2 linked regions of the Caenorhabditis elegans genome follow. The protein of the gene in region 1 purifies or fractionates together with the protein of each later gene. This does not show direct contact. Each region holds a gene or a part of one and is shown on either strand. Other genes may lie near its edges.

Region 1 (7,976 bases):
TTTTTAAACATTATTTCGACATAAAATTCAAAAAAAATACTGAAAGCGTTTAAAACGGATCTGCTGCCAATACCTATGTAATGAGACTCAAACTAAAGGGGCGGAGCATGTGACCGTGGAGCGCGATTGCATCTCGATTTCTTAAGACGCAACTTGCAAAAATTTTTAAATTTCCGACCAATCGGTAAACCAGCAATTTGGCGACAATTAAAATTTCCGGCAATTGCCGCCCACACGTGGTGTCAGAAAGTCTCATCGCGGTTTGATCTACAAAAATGCGGAATTTTTTCCCAGAAAAATTGTGACGTCAGCACACTCTTAACCATGCGAAATCAGTTGAGATGTCTACGATTTCCTCCCGCATTTTTTGTAGATCAAAGCGAAATGGGACTTTCTGACTCCACGTAATAAAAAACACGACTGTTTTTCGTAGAATTGTTCGCGAGAACAAGTTGTGAACAATACGAAAATCTTCAGGGAACTGAGAGAGAAAGAGGCAAGTGAAACTAGAAAAAAAGTATGGTGCATCAAGAAAAGTGAGAAGCCGAAAAAGAAGAAGAAGATCCACTTCTTCTTCTATTTTCTCTTCTTTTTTTGAGTCGACGACTCACTTGTCTGTGTGTGTTGCTGCTCTGACAGGCATAATTTAATAACGTATTACACAAGAGGATCCCCCTCCCGTAGACAATGAGGCAAGGGGGGGCAAAAAAGAGTACCGAGTAGGAAGCTAATCTGTTGGAAGTTGTTGTGTGTTCCAGTGAAAATCTGATATAACTTAGTTCCTCTTATGGGCTCTTGCGCGAAAAAGTGCAATCGAGGTGCAAACGCGCTCCACGGCCAAACGACGAGTTTGTGGCCCCTTCAAACACGCGGTGTCAGGTTGTCCCATTACGGGTTGATCTACAGAAAATGCGGGAATTTTTCGCGTAAAAAAATGTGACGTCAGCATGTTCTTAATCATGCGAAATCAGTTGAGAACTCTGCGTCTCAACTCCCGCATTTTCGCAGATCTAAGTAGATCAAACCGAAATGGGGCACTGTGACACCAGGTGTTCAAAAGTGCGTGCATGGTCTCGTCACGCGCCTCAAAAATCTATGAATGGCGCGTGTCAAGACGATCGCGCGTAAATGCGCCCCTTCAAAGTCGTAGAGATGGAAAAAATGCGCTGTATATGATAATAACCTTTTTTCGCGTAAAAATAATCGAAAAACTACTGAAAATAATTGAAAACGTTCGAATTTAATGTTTTACCGCCAATTTTTTGTTGTACCCGGTTTTTTGGCCGTGGAGCACCTTGAATTTTATGAACGATTTTCGAGTTTTTGAACTCGATAAATTTTTAATTTCACTCGACTTATTTTTTTTACCAAAAAATAAGTTTAAAAATCCATAGAAAACTTAAAAATTCAGTAGAAAATCTGAGAAATATGAATTTTCCAGTCTCCGTTATAGACACTGGTCGCGGCTGAATTTGAGAAAAGCCGGAGGCACAGGAATTTGAATTTTTCATTGGTTTAGATTTAAAAAAACATAATTCGAAATCGATGTGGAAACGCGCTCCACGGAAAATTGGCAAAGCTCCGCCCCCAAACCATAGGTCTCGTTAGGCATGTGGCGGCAAAACTGTGAATTCAAATGTTTCGCCAATTTTCAAATACCGTATTTCCTCTATTAGTCTTGCACCCCTACGGACCAATCGAAAATTAGTCTTGCAGCCTCTATTAGTATTGCATGCAAGACTATTAGAGAGCATACGGTAATAGTCTTGCACCCCTATTCTTGCCAGACCAGCAGTATTTTGTGAAAACTTCAAAAATTTCGCCATTTTTTAGCCAAATTAAGTTTTAAAGTGTTCAAATAATTGATAAAACAATAGAAAAGTATGTATTTTGCACGATTTAGACAGTTTCAAGTCAAATTTTTGACGATAAATTATCAATTTTACAAAGCTATTGGATCTTCGAAAATTAGTCTTGCAGCCTCTAATAGTCTTGCAGTCTCTATTAGTCTTGCACCCCTACGGGTCAATTGAAAATTAGTCTTGCATGCAAGACTAATAGAGGGAATACGGTATTTTCGTTGTTTTTATTGAATTTTACGTCGAAAAAAGTATTAAGAACTTAAAAATTAAAAAAAAAACTAGTTTTCGTTTTTTGGAGCGTTTTCAATAGCTCGTGGAGCGCGATTTCACCAGAGATCTTTTTACAGCGTTTCCATATAACGTGGAATTCCTCATTGTTATGCGAACAATTTAAGACGCTTAAATAGGAAATGATAACATAATTATTTTGTCGAAATATATAAGAAGAGTCTGAAAAAATTGAGCTTCCGACTCTTTTTTGCCGCAAAAAAAGTTTACTTTTTTCCAGTAAACTTTTTGTGCCGCACACCTCTATTCTGCAAACAAACTATAGAATTTCAAATGCTGTGGGCTTCGCGTGTGTGAGTGGAAATGAAAATAAATAAATACATACTAAAAAGTGATAATCACATCAAAATTTAGTTCCTACCGCTGCGACACTGAGAAGTTGTCAAAATTTAAGATTTTAGCTGAAAATATACCATTTTCCGAGCGGTCATAACTTTTTTTTTTGAGAAATTTTCAGAACATCTCATTACGAAATTAGTTTTGGAACATTTTGGGTCCCAAAAAGCCAAGTCTCGAATTTCGGTGATCCTCCTTTAAGTCTGTGGAACTACTGAAAACTAGCAAAAAACGATGATTGTTAGGAGAATAATGCGGCTACGAAAATGTTGTGTGTATGTGTGTGTGGGGGCGTGGCGCTCTCCGAAGACTTTACGTGGACGACGTGGTAATTATGACGGTCAGAAGGCGGACAAGAGTGCGAGAGACGCAGAGAAGAGAAGCCCAACAGCCGTCGCCGAAAAAATAGACAAAGTATTCGTGACTATGGCTCACCGCCAACACTCTAAAACGGGAAAATCGATGTGGTGGAGAGGAGGAGGAGACGGAGGAGAGAGAGAAATACAGCGAAAGAAGTCGTCGTCGGAGGGCCCCCGACGTCGTCTGACGGCGGGGTGTCAGACGCAGTAGGTTAGACGAATGGCGCCTCGGGGCAACGCTTGCTGCGTCTCTGCGATTCGGAGAACTGTCTGGCCACCTTTTTACGGGACGATGGGCAGGGAAAACAAGGCAAAGTGAGAGAGAGAGAGAGAGATATGTGCGACGAGTTGAGGCACACAGAGAGGGAAAAGGCGCCCAGCGGCAGCAGCAGCAACACCCAGACCGATATATTTATATGTGCATGTTGTGGAGGCTGCTGCTGTATGTGTCTGTGTGTATGCTCACAAGAGCTCGAGACACCGGGACGGCTCATGAATTCCTGACGACGACGGCGACGCTGAATGCGGCAGAAGGAGAAAAGAAAACGGAGACGCACTCGTGGATAAATTGGAGAAATTGAGAACCACAGGCTGTAAACAATGCACATTTTTTGGGAAAACTCAGATTATCGACTGCAATCTGGAAAATAAATTTTTGAATTTTAAACCTGAAAATATAATTTTTTAGCCTGAATTCCCTGAAAGAGCTCAATTTCTGTGCGAATAACGAGTTTTCAGCGATTAATTTCATTATTTTACCGAATTTTCAATAAAATTTGAAAAATTTTACCTAAACAACTCGATTTTTATTTTAATACAAAAATAATTTTCATATTTTCCGCTGTTTTGTTTAAAGGGGGGCGCAATTCCGCAGACAAGATACTTCGCAACGACAAAAACTACGGTTACACTCGTTTTGCGTGTGTCTGGTGTTTGAATTTCAGGATTCGCGCCTTTCTTTCCATTTCTTCATTTTCCAAGGTTTTTCGGGGAAATCGCTCTTTTTTTTTTCACTTTTACGATTAAAAAACAGCTAGAATGTTTAAAAACTACTAGGAATTTCATGGGAAACGAATCATTTGATGATTTTTCGTCGAAGTTGAGCTGAATTCATTTTCTACTTTGTTTTATTGTTTTCCAAGCTTTAATATCAATTTATTGTGCCCGATGTTACCAATTACACTTGAAAAATCTAAAAAGCTTGGAAACTAGCCGAAAATGTGCAGTAAAACAAAATTTCCTATAAAATCCGAGTTATTTGAACCAAATTCATACTCTTCTCTATTTTATCGTTTTCCGAGCTCTAATCGTATATAATATTACCTATTTTCAGCTAAATGAGCACATCCGTAGCGGAAAACAAAGCATTGTCAGCTTCCGGCGATGTGAATGCGTCCGATGCTTCAGTTCCTCCAGAGCTTCTCACCAGACACCCCCTCCAGAATCGCTGGGCTCTCTGGTACTTGAAAGCTGACCGTAACAAGGAATGGGAGGATTGTCTGAAGGTAGAAGATTTTTAAATACGTCTTTTATCGATTTTTTCCAGATGGTTTCACTTTTCGACACTGTCGAGGACTTCTGGTCGCTGTACAATCACATTCAGTCTGCCGGAGGATTGAACTGGGGATCCGATTATTACTTGTTCAAGGAAGGAATCAAGCCAATGTGGGAGGACGTCAACAACGTTCAAGGTGGACGTTGGTTGGTTGTTGTCGATAAGCAAGTACGTTTTGAGAAATATATTTTATTCAATGAATCATAGAAGCTTCAGAGAAGAACGCAATTGCTCGATCACTACTGGTTGGAGCTGTTGATGGCTATTGTTGGAGAGCAATTCGACGAGTACGGAGACTACATCTGCGGAGCTGTCGTGAATGTTCGTCAAAAGGGTGACAAGGTTTCCTTGTGGACTCGTGATGCTACTCGCGATGATGTCAATCTTCGCATCGGACAGGTTTTGAAGCAGAAATTGAGCATTCCGGATACTGAGATTTTGAGGTAATTTTACAATTTTAGTATTTGCTATCTAAGTAAAATATTTCCAGATACGAAGTTCACAAGGACTCGTCGGCTCGCACCTCATCGACTGTCAAGCCACGCATATGTCTTCCAGCCAAGGATCCAGCACCAGTGAAGGAAAAGGGACCAGCCGCAACGACTTCTCCATCGAATCCCGGCACGGAGGCTACAGGAACTTCTCCAGCCACCCCAACTCCTTAAGCATATTCTAAAGATCTCACCAATTCCTCTCACCGTAAATGAGCTTCCCCGTACTCCCAGTCTCAATGTTGTCTTGAAAAATGAACTGTTTTTCGGACACGATCATCGCTTTAACTATTCGAAAATCAGCTCATTTTTCAAGTCGTACCCCCCACCTAATGTATTGGTGCTTCCCCTCCAATTTGTACCTACTGTTTCGCTTCCCCCTATTGATTTACCGGTTTTCGTATTGCTCTCTTGTTGTTACTAGATTCGAGACTGATCGACGCCTGTAGCCGAATTCGTTTGTTCTTCAGGTTAATTGATGAATATATATTTATTCGGTAAATATAAATAGATATGTTAGTTATTATTCTTCTTCACACACATGATTTGTAGGGCGTTTGATTTTGTACATTTTTAAAAATTGATTCTATTCTTGTTTTCAGGCAGACTTCTCCGATGTCTTTACAGTTTTTGCAGGCTTTGCCGTAGTCGATGTGTTCGAGCTAGACGAAGGAGCTGCGGCAACAGTCTTCTTGGTTGGCTTCCTAGCTTTCCGAGGTTTCCGTGTGCTCGTCGTGCTCGGCGAGCCGGTAGTGGTCTTTTTGTTTGCTTTGGCCGCATCGTCGTGTTGATAGGAATCAACATCCCGCGACATAATTCCCATCGGAGAGCCAATTCCTCGGTTCCAGTGATTCGAAGCAATGTTCATGTTGTAATCTATGGGAATTCCTCCTCCACGTGATGGGATCTGTGGTCCACTGCCGCCATAAAGCATACGCTCAAGTTGGGAATCATGGCTTCCGAATCGTTCGCGAAGATATGCGGGACCATAGCGTGACGCATAGGTGGCAAGCTCGCGAAGTGATGGGATCGCGGAATTTGTAGCTCCATTGAAACTGTTCATCAGGTCGTTAGATGCGTAATCAGCTGGAAAATAGCGGATTTTAAAGAATTTTATAGCGCATAGAAAAATCGTATACTTACGTGGATACTCAGTCTGTGGAATTTTCGTCTTCCTGGAGCTCATAGGCGGCACAACGGCACCCCGTCTCATACCAACAGTGCTCCCGTAGTACCCAGATCGACTTCCTCCGACCAGTCCGGAAAATGGAGCGGCCGGCCGGATATTGTACTCTTCTAGACCCCCAGGATATGGGGAACCTCCACCAAGATTCACTGTGCCATATGGATTCGGATTACGGTCACCGTAGAGGCCACCTATTTGTGGGGGTGGCGGGGATCCCGTGTTCCGATAGCCCATTCTGTTTGATCCATAACCGGCTTTATAGGCCATTCTACTGAAAGGAACACGAACTCCGAATGGGGCATTTATGTTTCGTCGTCGGAATGTGGTGACTTTCTTTCGATAAATTGAATCACCGGAATCAACGTCGGATTCTTCGTCTGGGGAACCTGGAAATGCACTTTTTTATTATGTTTTTGCATTTTACAGCGCCAAATGAGCTCCAATTTACATAAAATAAGGATTTTGCCCAGTTTTCAAATGAGATGCGACAGTTCGCGATTTGTTTCGCAAGATTACGATACCAGGTCTCGAGACGATCAAACAAAATAATTTATGGAAAAGAGTGTGCGCCTTTAGGGAGTACTGTAGTTTCGATTTTTCTTGTTCTTTTTTCGGTTTCACGTGTATTCAGCTCGACCCATGCCTCGAAAAGAGCTATTAGAAAAATACACGTGCTGTTTGACAAGTTTTCCAAAAATCAACTTTTTTAAAAGCAGAAATCACGGCCTCTCTTCATTTCAATAATTAAATAAAATAACGTGATGAACTGTCTCTGCGTCTCTCATGGGCGAGAGAGTGAGTTTTTTGAACCGATTTTGCACTGATTACGGAAGAACGAACTATAAACGGCGGATAGTGAAGAAAATTAAACAAAAATTGTTAGACTGATAGATCAGGCAAGTAGCGTCTGAATGAAACCAAAAACAGCGTGGAAGCGTATCAATGAACTCATCCATTCGTGAAAATCCTAAACTAGGGGTTTTTTGGTCATAATTGGCGAAATCGGGCGATTCGCTGATAAATCTTCAGATTTTCCAACAATAAACAAACAACTGAATATTACCTCATCAAATTCGACCAAAAAATCCAAATTTATAACATTAACTATGCTCTTGTAGGGCAAAATGTGAGACCTAGTCGAAAAATTGGTTTTTTACGGGATCCCTGGGGAAGAATGGAAACGAAATTTTAAAAAGTACCGCCTTACGATTGTAGAGAATTTTTTTCCGGTCATTTTTTGACATTGCACAAAAATTTTCGATAAAAACTGGCTCCGGAATTTCAAAAACAAGAATTAGGCCTGAAAACACCAAAAATGGGCCATTTTTGAATGGTTAACGCAATTTTACTAAAAAACGATGACATTTATCAAAAAACTACCGCCTTACGATTTTTACAAATTGTTCAATGAAGATATCAAGACATTAATGCCGTGATTTGGTTAAAAATTGACTGAGTAATTTCACTTTTAGGACATTGTGGTTTATAGTGGTTTTTGATTGGTTTTGTTTGGAAGCCCGTAGCTCAATAACTAAAGAAGCTATCAAAAAACTGTCAACTAAAGAAATAATCCTCATAAAACGATTAAAACTTACAGTTTAAATACATTTCAGTTTTTCTGATGGCTGCAGAGTTATGATATCACTAAGCGCCCAATCTTAAATTTCGGAGAAAAAAATCTTGCGAGGAGATTAAACTAATTTTTTTCAACCAATTATATTGGCATTTGGTAGGTAGGTGAATGACAATGGTTTTTTATAGTAAAAACAGTTTAGGCTTACTGGAGCCTGTTTTACTTGTGTTTTATGGCGCTTAGCTTTTTTGCGTTACAATATAGTTGTACTCGTTTCAGTTAGATAGTTAGATTTATCTAACGATAGAACGTATTTAGACCAAGAG
Region 2 (8,244 bases), on another chromosome or scaffold:
GAGGTGGTGATGATGATAATAACGGAAGGACAATTAGTTAAAACAGGAAAAACGTAGAATTCAAGGAAGTGGAAAATTTAAGATGGGCTGATGAGAGGATATTAAAATTAACCAATTGTCACAATTTCTAGAAGATCCAGGAATCAGACCGAAGGCACTGACTTACACACAATTAGGAAATTTGGAAAAGAAATGAAGCTAAGAGCTAGTCAAAAGTCTTCGTTTTACGATAAATTCGATGCAATTCAACGAAATTCCAGCACTCCGAAAAAATTCAGCGACTTTTCGACCGTCTCTTAGAAAAGACCCTTTAAGCACGAAAACAAGCATAGCAAGAAATGTTCTCGGGACCAACTGGTATGGAAATATGAAGGGAGAAACCAATAAAAAACCAACAGCTAATTTAGAAACAATAAACAAGGAGACTATGAAAGGGTTATTCAAATAGAAAAACGAATGAAAGAAATGGGAACTGGGAGCAAATAAACGAAACGGGAATCCAAATGAGGATATAAATATTTAATGATTTGGAGGAAAACGTGATATTTTTAGTGATCATCAGAAGAAAAGGGTAAGGTGGGTGGGAAAGGGGCTATAACGAGTTGATTTCTGCGTCTCGAAACGAAAAATGAAGAGAATCTTCACGTTTCGAGACGAGTTGTAGAATGAGCGGAAGTTTGCAGGAAAAATGATCTGAATGTCTGAAAATTGATTTACTTCAGCTAAATCATGATAATCAGTTATTCATTTTGAAACTTTTCTTGCAAACCTCTAACAAAAGAAAAACAAGCAATAATATCGAAAACCATTAATGGGATACCCAATAAGACATAAAATCGGTAGGGATGGACGCGCGGCGAAAAAACGAAAAACTTGACATGTTTAGACCGTATTATCAACAACTCGTTCTTATATAGATAATTAAAATGGGTTTTAGCACACAAAAAAGTTCTCTATAAATCTACTGTGGAGTTTGAAAATCCAAAAATACGATAAATTAGTTGCCCGTCAAATAGCTCGACAACGTTTTTCCATTTTTAAACGTCACTGCTTCCATTTCTGCTGAAAGTCCTTCTTCCATCTCAGTCTTTAACTTCATGTCCGAAAACTCCCACGAGATTCCTTCTGCAGCGCCAGTCACTTCAAGCTCAAGCTCGATCTGAAAAAAATTAAATTAAAAAAATAAACGCAATGTACTGAATCTGAGCACTAAAATTTGCAATAACTCACCAATTGCTTCAAAACTTGAACAAGAAGGTCAAATTTCTTATTTCCTTCTCCTTTGGCAGCTGAGAAAATTGGCTTCATGTCCGCTAATGAGAAAGATTCAACTTCTCCAATTTCGTCATGTGGAGCATGACTTGTGTTCACGAGAACTTCACCAGTAACGGTCCACAATTTGGGATAATCTTGCTGGAGCTCAACATCATTAGCGAATTTGCAGAAACGGGTAGCTCTGAAATAATTTGTAAAGCTCAATAAATCATAAACTCTTGCCTTACCCCTCTATAAAAGCTTGCTTCTCAGTCTTGCTGACCAATGACATCCGCAGAGCAATAGCCAACTTCTTTCGATCATCATCCTTCAAACCTTTTTCGATCACAGCTCGGATAATCATCTCATAGACTACTGTCAATGACGGCGAACCGTATTTTTCTTTTCCAACATAATCGGTGATAGAGTCAACCAATTCCTTTTGGGAGAGCTCACCACTAGACATTTCTAGAAGATCGGATTTAACGGTATTCATAATCTTGGCTCTGACAGCTTTCTCTTCTTCAGTCAGCTCATCGTCGGTCTTGTCAGTATTCGAATTTTGTGATGTGGATCGCCGCGAAGAAATTGACATTGCACTGATTTCCTTTGCAGCAGCTAAAGCGGCCTGTTTCTCGTCAACAGTCGACTTTTTGCGTTGATCATTGGAATCACGTCGCCCCCAAGCTGATTTGACTGGAACGGCAGATTCGGAAGAAGTGTTTCCTCCACCAGAAGCACCAGAATGCCACTCTTTTTTGCTCTTCCCAAGAGTATTATTATCCATCGAAGAGAGCGAGATGTTTTTGGGTTGAACACCTGGAAATTGCAATTAATTAATATTGAAGAAATATTTGTCTGAAAATACTTACTCGATGAGGCAAGTTTTGTGTTAGCTGCAGCAGCGGCTCTTTTTTGTTCAGGGTGTTGCATTCCTCGGTTCCTATCCAATGAATTCCTGGAGACTGGAACTGATTTTCTGAGAGAGTTGCTGTTTGGTCTGACACCTCCATGACGACGATCACGATCCCGATCATATTGATCACGAGCTTTCTCATTTTCAATCTTCTCTTGACGAATATCTTTGTGAATTTCATCGATTTTTTTCGGTCCAGACTCGGTAGATTTTCTTGGAATCCATTTGTCTTTGCGAAGCTCCATAAGATTCATGATCATGAAACGGATTTTGTTTGAGCAGTAAGGTTTGGCAGCTTCCAACTTCTGGAACCATTGATCAAGGAATACGGTCGTGGAATCTTTTGATTTATCCAACATCACGCCTACAGTCTCGATGAGTTGAAGACCACAGTGAATAGATTCCTCGTCGACATCCTCTTTTTTAATATCTTGGTCCTTGATCGAATTGAACAATTCGAATGTACACGTTTGGACGATTTTTGTGGATAAAAGTTGATTTCTATACAGATAACCCATAAACGTCATAACTCCGAACTTTCTCCGTCTAAATTTCTGTTTCTCCTCTGCAAGCATCAATTCCTTTTTCACTGGATCTTCTTCTTTTTCGATGATTGCCAGTTTGTCTGCATCAATGTCTTTTTTATCCTGGAATGTCATCTGCGTCCGAGTCAAAACCTTATTTCTGAAGGCTGACTTTCCGCCGGTCTGGGATAGTTCATGATTCGCCTGAGCCTTACACATTTCAGCGTACAAAGCACAGAACTTTGGCTCTTCAACTGCCTTGTCAAAGACGATTTCGACAACTTGAGCGAGCTGCGCATCGTTGGAGGATACATTGTAGGAAATGAATTCTTCGGTGAGAGGACGTTGTGATGTAGGCGTCACCTTGTTCATAAGAGACCGAACCTTCTTACAAACTTCCTGAAATTTGGTTTAACAGTTTATAGTTTTGATTAATCACGAATAACTTACAATAACCGCAGCTTCCTCGCTTGCAACAGCTTCCGCGGTTTTTTGACGGTCTGGCTTCCATGCATCTTTCGATGATGGAAGTGTAACTCTCTGAACTCGTTCAATCGAAGGTCTAACAACTGGTGGTCGCTTGTTGTGCATACGATCTCTTTGCTGCTGACCGCCACGCCCGGTTCCATCTGTGGTTGTTCTTCCACGGTATGGCTGAAAATACAATATTGTTTGAATTATGGCTTTTATTAAATAATGATAACTTACAACCTGCTGGCGGTTTCCTCCTTTGTTTGCCCAGTTTGGTGTGAAATTAGGCTTCTTATTATCAGAAACTCGCATCGTTTTGATATCCAATCCGAAATCAGCTAGCTGAGCTGGTGACAGTGGACATGGGGTCCGAGAGAAAACTTTTTCAATTTCGCGAATAGTAACCATGAAATCTCTTCCAAAAGTTCCATCCGAGATGACAGCACTTCCGGCCAGGATAAGCTCCTCGATTCTTTTCTCTAAAGCTTCCTCGCGAAGTTTTTTCTTTTCAATCTCTTCGGCTTCTTTCTGTGCTTTTTCGATTTCCAGCTCCTCAGGAGTCTTTTCTGTAGAAGAGTCAGCAACGTCTGGCGTACTTTCTCTTTCATCATTCTCCTCAAATTTATCATCATCAGTTTCCTCTTTTGATTCTTCCTTTGTCAGTGTTGGAGTAACTCTGACATCAGCTACAGTAGATGCTGATTCTGCAGTTCCACTGGCGGGCGTAGTGGTGGTTGTGTCTGATGCATGGGGAGATGAAACAGGCGTCACAAGGGTTTCTGCTTGTTTTACTTCGTAATCAGCCTTTGCTGGTGCTTCTGGAGTTTTCGGAACGGACGGTACAACTTGTGGAGCTATGGATGCTGCTGGAGGTGTCTGTCCCAGGGCTGGCGGTGGTACGCTAAAATTGGGAAGTACAGCAGCTTGCACCGCAGCTGGGACCGCAGCTGGGACCGCAGGAGGATTATCATGTCGTCTGTCTTCATGATGTAGTTCATTTTTGACCTGATTCAAGAATTCTAAAGTAATGTTTTGTTTTTTCTTTTCTTCCTCTGGGGCAATCGGGGCTGCTGGAGCCGCTGGCGCTGGTGCAGCTGGTGCAAGATGAGGCGTCACTTCAATTGCCTTTTTCGTAGTTGGATCGACAATTTCCAGTGCTTTCCTTTGCCGTTTAGGTTCTTGTGGAGCTGTATGAGTCATCTGTTGTTGTGCTGGCTGAGCTGGTTGATATGGCATTTCTGGGTGGTATTGCTGAGGAGCTTGGTAGCCTTGGTACTGTTGATTGTACATCTGTGGTTGATGACCATAGTCCGGTCGCTGATATCCACCACTGAAAATGATATTCATGAAAAACTGGTAGGTAACAGAAGTAAGCGTTTGGGATACTCATATTTTTAAGAAAATTTATTTTTCAGTGTGAGTAAAATTTTGGAAATGATAAGCTAAATATATTTAATATTTAAAAAAAAACTTACTATTGTTGCTGGTGCTGTGGTGCTTGTGGCGGATAATAGTGATTTGTTTGTGGTTGGTTGTATTGTTGTTGGCCATATTGTGGATACGCCGACTGGTTCATTGGCATTCTTTGATAGCTGAAAAAGAACTTTAGCCATGGAAAATATTTTCAACTTCTTACTTTGAGTTCACTGGGCCAGATGTGTTAACAAATGGCATCACGAATTGTTGGGATGAATCCTGCATAGGAACTGCATTGTGATCTGAATGAAAACCTTGAAGGAATTAGAAAACTGACAAAAACCGTGAGCACTTACCTTGATTCGGCTTCCCTCTCCCAGGCCCCCTACTAACAGCGTTTGACATAATCTTTCAGTTTGAGGAAGTCACTGAAAAGAGTTTTAATAAAATAAAAAACGATAGAGAATAATTAGAGAAGGGGAAATTGAGGGAGGAGGAATAACGTTATTTTTCAAAATAAGAGCAGAGTGAAGGTAAAAGTGTTTTCTCTACAGATAGCAAGAACAGAAAAAGTGCAGAACGCAGCGTTTAGAATATCGATTATTTAAACTGGTGATGTCAACAATAAAAAATGACTGCACATCGTCTCCTTCATACTCAAGAGCAGAAGATGTGCATGTATCGACAGAATTTAAAGAACGTGCACACCGAGAGAAATTACATGGATCGATGAAAACTATAAAATACAATCGCATAGAAGTGGTTTTACGTTTAGTCCGTGTGAATCTGTAAGAACTTAACAAAAATTATGAGTAAATTCCAAAGATATCGCCAGTCAGAACAGAAAGTAAACAAAGTCTTAACCAATTTCGCAACCGGAAATCAATAAATTTCGAAATGCCTGATTTCAAAACATTGAAGAAATAAATATTGATCGAAATTTAAAATTTTGAACCTATGAAACAAAAATCAAGTTTAAAAAACAACAAAACGTTTGTTTTTTTCCGAAAAATCGATATAAATTTAGGCTGAGCCAAGAGACAATGGGTCTCGTAGCGACAAGTTGCCTGCCATAGTTCCAACTCGCGTAAATCGACACAACTCTCCTCTCTTTGCACGCTATTTCTCCCTCATCACATCGCTTTTCAAGTATCTACCAAAGAAATCCGGTTTCCTCTTTGGAAATCAGATTTTATATTAAAAAAAAACAAATAAACAAACCGTTACGGAAGATGGCGTTAGAAATCGACGGAAATGAGCAGGAAACCGAGAAATATTGTAAATTCTGCTTCGGAACGGAAAGTGATAATGCGTTAAGCTTCGTTCATCCGTGTCGATGTCGAGGATCTATTCACGTGAGATTTCATATTCGAAAAATGTTTTTTATGCTTATTGAATAGAAAAATTAAATTTATGAGTGTTAAATTAAAAAAGAGATACATGAATCAATATGCTTATCGAATCAAAATAAATATTGCGAAAATTGATATTAAAATTAACTAGGAAAGTTCAGGAACCTTGAAAAATTTTTGTTATAACCTTGAGAAACTGTTCGATTTTCGCGAATAATTCTAGTTTTTCACTCCAACTTTTTTTTCAGTGGGTTCATCATCAATGCCTGGCCATGTGGTTTTCGAAAGCGAATGCTGTACAACAAGTTATGTGTATTCAGTGCCAGTACGTTAATTAAAGTTTATTGAAGAAAATTTCTGAATATTCCAATTTCCAGAACACGATATCAAAAACAATTAACACTCAAATCATGGAAATCCTGGACAATTCCTCGCTTTGGAATCGATAAGTTTGGCTTGCTGGAAATTACTGTTGATTTATGGATAACATGGAGAACTGTATCCGGTTTCGTTGGAATGATGAACGGAACAAAGTAAGAATATCTGAAAAAAAAACTATCATGGGGTTTTACAAATTTGAACATTGTTTTATTTTTCTCCTCTCGTATTATTAGATGGGAATAGAAAATACAACTGTAACAAAATCCAGAAATGTTCATAAAATGAAACTGAAATAATTGATTAAATGAATTCGAAGTTTCCAAATATTTAAAATTATCTTTCTCCAATTCAAACAGCGAAATAGAATCAAACTTCTCGAAAATAACATCCATAAATCGTCGTAATTGTTTCAGGGGAATTTTCCGAGAGATAATTCTATGCACCATGTGGAAATGTTTTGTAGCATCTGGAAGGAGGTTTTGCTACTACGGAAATCTCGGACTAAGACTTGCTTCTTCGATTTTCCGAGTTAGTATTGATGACTATGAAGAAAGGTACGTATCCAATATTTATAGATTTGTTTCTCTTCGGTCACATTTTTGCTAGAGCCCAATTAAAAAATATATAATCATACCGTTTTGAGGTAAATTCAGGAAATTTCTGAACAGCTTAATATATTACGGGAACAATAAATCATGAGAATGTGTACTTAGTGCATTTTATTTGACGCGCTATATCTCTTAGCGAAAACTACAGTAAGAGCTTAAATATCTATTGTTATTTGAGTTCTTACTGTATTTTTCGCTAAGAGATATCGCGCGTCAAATAAAATGCACCAAGTACGCATTCTCATGATTTATTGTTCCCTTAATATGTAATTTCATAATTTAATTTTCTATATAAAATTGGCTACTATTAAATTCTACAAATTTTTAAACTACTGCTGTGATTGTGGCGAGACCCGCTCAGAAAAGTGACGTGTGCCTTTAAAGTTAATTGTCACAAAAAACGTATTTTACGAATATCTGTTTCATATTCAAATTGTGCCAATTTCAGACGAGAAATCAAGGCACGACTTCCAACCGATATGCACTGGGAAGAAATCAGCCAATCGTCTGTTCTCAACTAGTACAGTTCACTTGTCCTCCATACGGGTTGCTGAAGTGCTCAAGTGTCGCTCCTCCTCTTATTTGCTTTATCCTCCCAACAACTGACCTGGTTTTCCGTTTTCTTTCTCTCACACTCTTGTCTCTATCATCTCAGTGTTTTTTCTGTATTTTCTGTGATTTCAGCTTCGTTGTACCAATAAAACGACAAATTTGTACTTATCAATAAAGTTTTAATTTATAACTTCAGTATCCATTTTATGAATAGTAAAGACTTTTTCAGTGTAAAGACTCTGTCTACTTCATTTTAATTTTTCTTAAGTTACTTTTTTTTATCTCTCAATTTTTGTAGATGAATAATATACGAAATCAGTTTCAAAAGTTGTATTGGATGATTTTGGATCACCCATTCTATACGGTCGAATCGGTGTTGGCTCTTACAATTCCATTAATTTTAGTGGTTTTCATGTTCAATTGGAGAGTCAAACAATCAATGAAAAAACAAAAATTGATTCAAAGTCGAAGAGACAAACTTCTCAAAAAGTTGAATGGAGGAAAGACGAAAATGGATGAAAATGAAGAAGATGATGAAGTTATCAAAGAAGCCATCAAGCTCATGGAACAAAAAGTCAAGAAATCGAATTGACTCATTTAATGGATGATCTTTTTCTGTTGAAATATCTTGTTTTCTTTGTTCAAATTTTATTGTGATCTCTTAAATATCTTCAAAAGCATAGTCATGAATAAACGTGGATTGAAATAATAATTCGTATTTTTATATTTTTGAAACAACACACAACTTAATCTAGTCTTTGCAATTTTCA

The links. The genes of interacting proteins can lie anywhere in the genome.
Region 2: the proteins of ife-3 (region 1) and ifg-1 purify together in Caenorhabditis elegans (affinity purification with western blotting, with the first as the bait; one study listed by BioGRID). This does not show direct contact.

Annotation. Positions count from the first base shown.
Region 1 is NC_003283.11:4,025-12,000, reverse strand, and holds ife-3 (Eukaryotic translation initiation factor 4E-3), read left to right. Parts: upstream 1-4,171; 5' UTR 4,172-4,182; coding exon 4,183-4,350; intron 4,351-4,391; coding exon 4,392-4,568; intron 4,569-4,607; coding exon 4,608-4,843; intron 4,844-4,890; coding exon 4,891-5,065; 3' UTR 5,066-5,413; downstream 5,414-7,976. Other genes in the region: B0348.10 (uncharacterized protein), read left to right, coding at 3,262-3,426; idpp-2 (Intrinsically Disordered Protein, expressed in Pharynx), read right to left, coding at 5,490-5,977, 6,035-6,463. UniProt on the Caenorhabditis elegans protein: Recognizes and binds the 7-methylguanosine-containing mRNA cap during an early step in the initiation of protein synthesis and facilitates ribosome binding by inducing the unwinding of the mRNAs secondary structures.
Region 2 is NC_003280.10:8,213,996-8,222,239, reverse strand, and holds ifg-1 (MIF4G domain-containing protein), read right to left. Parts: upstream 4,987-8,244; coding exon 4,938-4,986; intron 4,896-4,937; coding exon 4,802-4,895; intron 4,758-4,801; coding exon 4,641-4,757; intron 4,496-4,640; coding exon 3,403-4,495; intron 3,349-3,402; coding exon 3,145-3,348; intron 3,094-3,144; coding exon 2,127-3,093; intron 2,074-2,126; coding exon 1,503-2,073; intron 1,457-1,502; coding exon 1,231-1,456; intron 1,160-1,230; coding exon 998-1,159; downstream 1-997. Other genes in the region: M110.3 (E3 ubiquitin-protein ligase MARCHF5), read left to right, coding at 5,814-5,936, 6,182-6,258, 6,311-6,466, 6,728-6,868, 7,371-7,443; M110.10 (Small integral membrane protein 15), read left to right, coding at 7,773-8,066.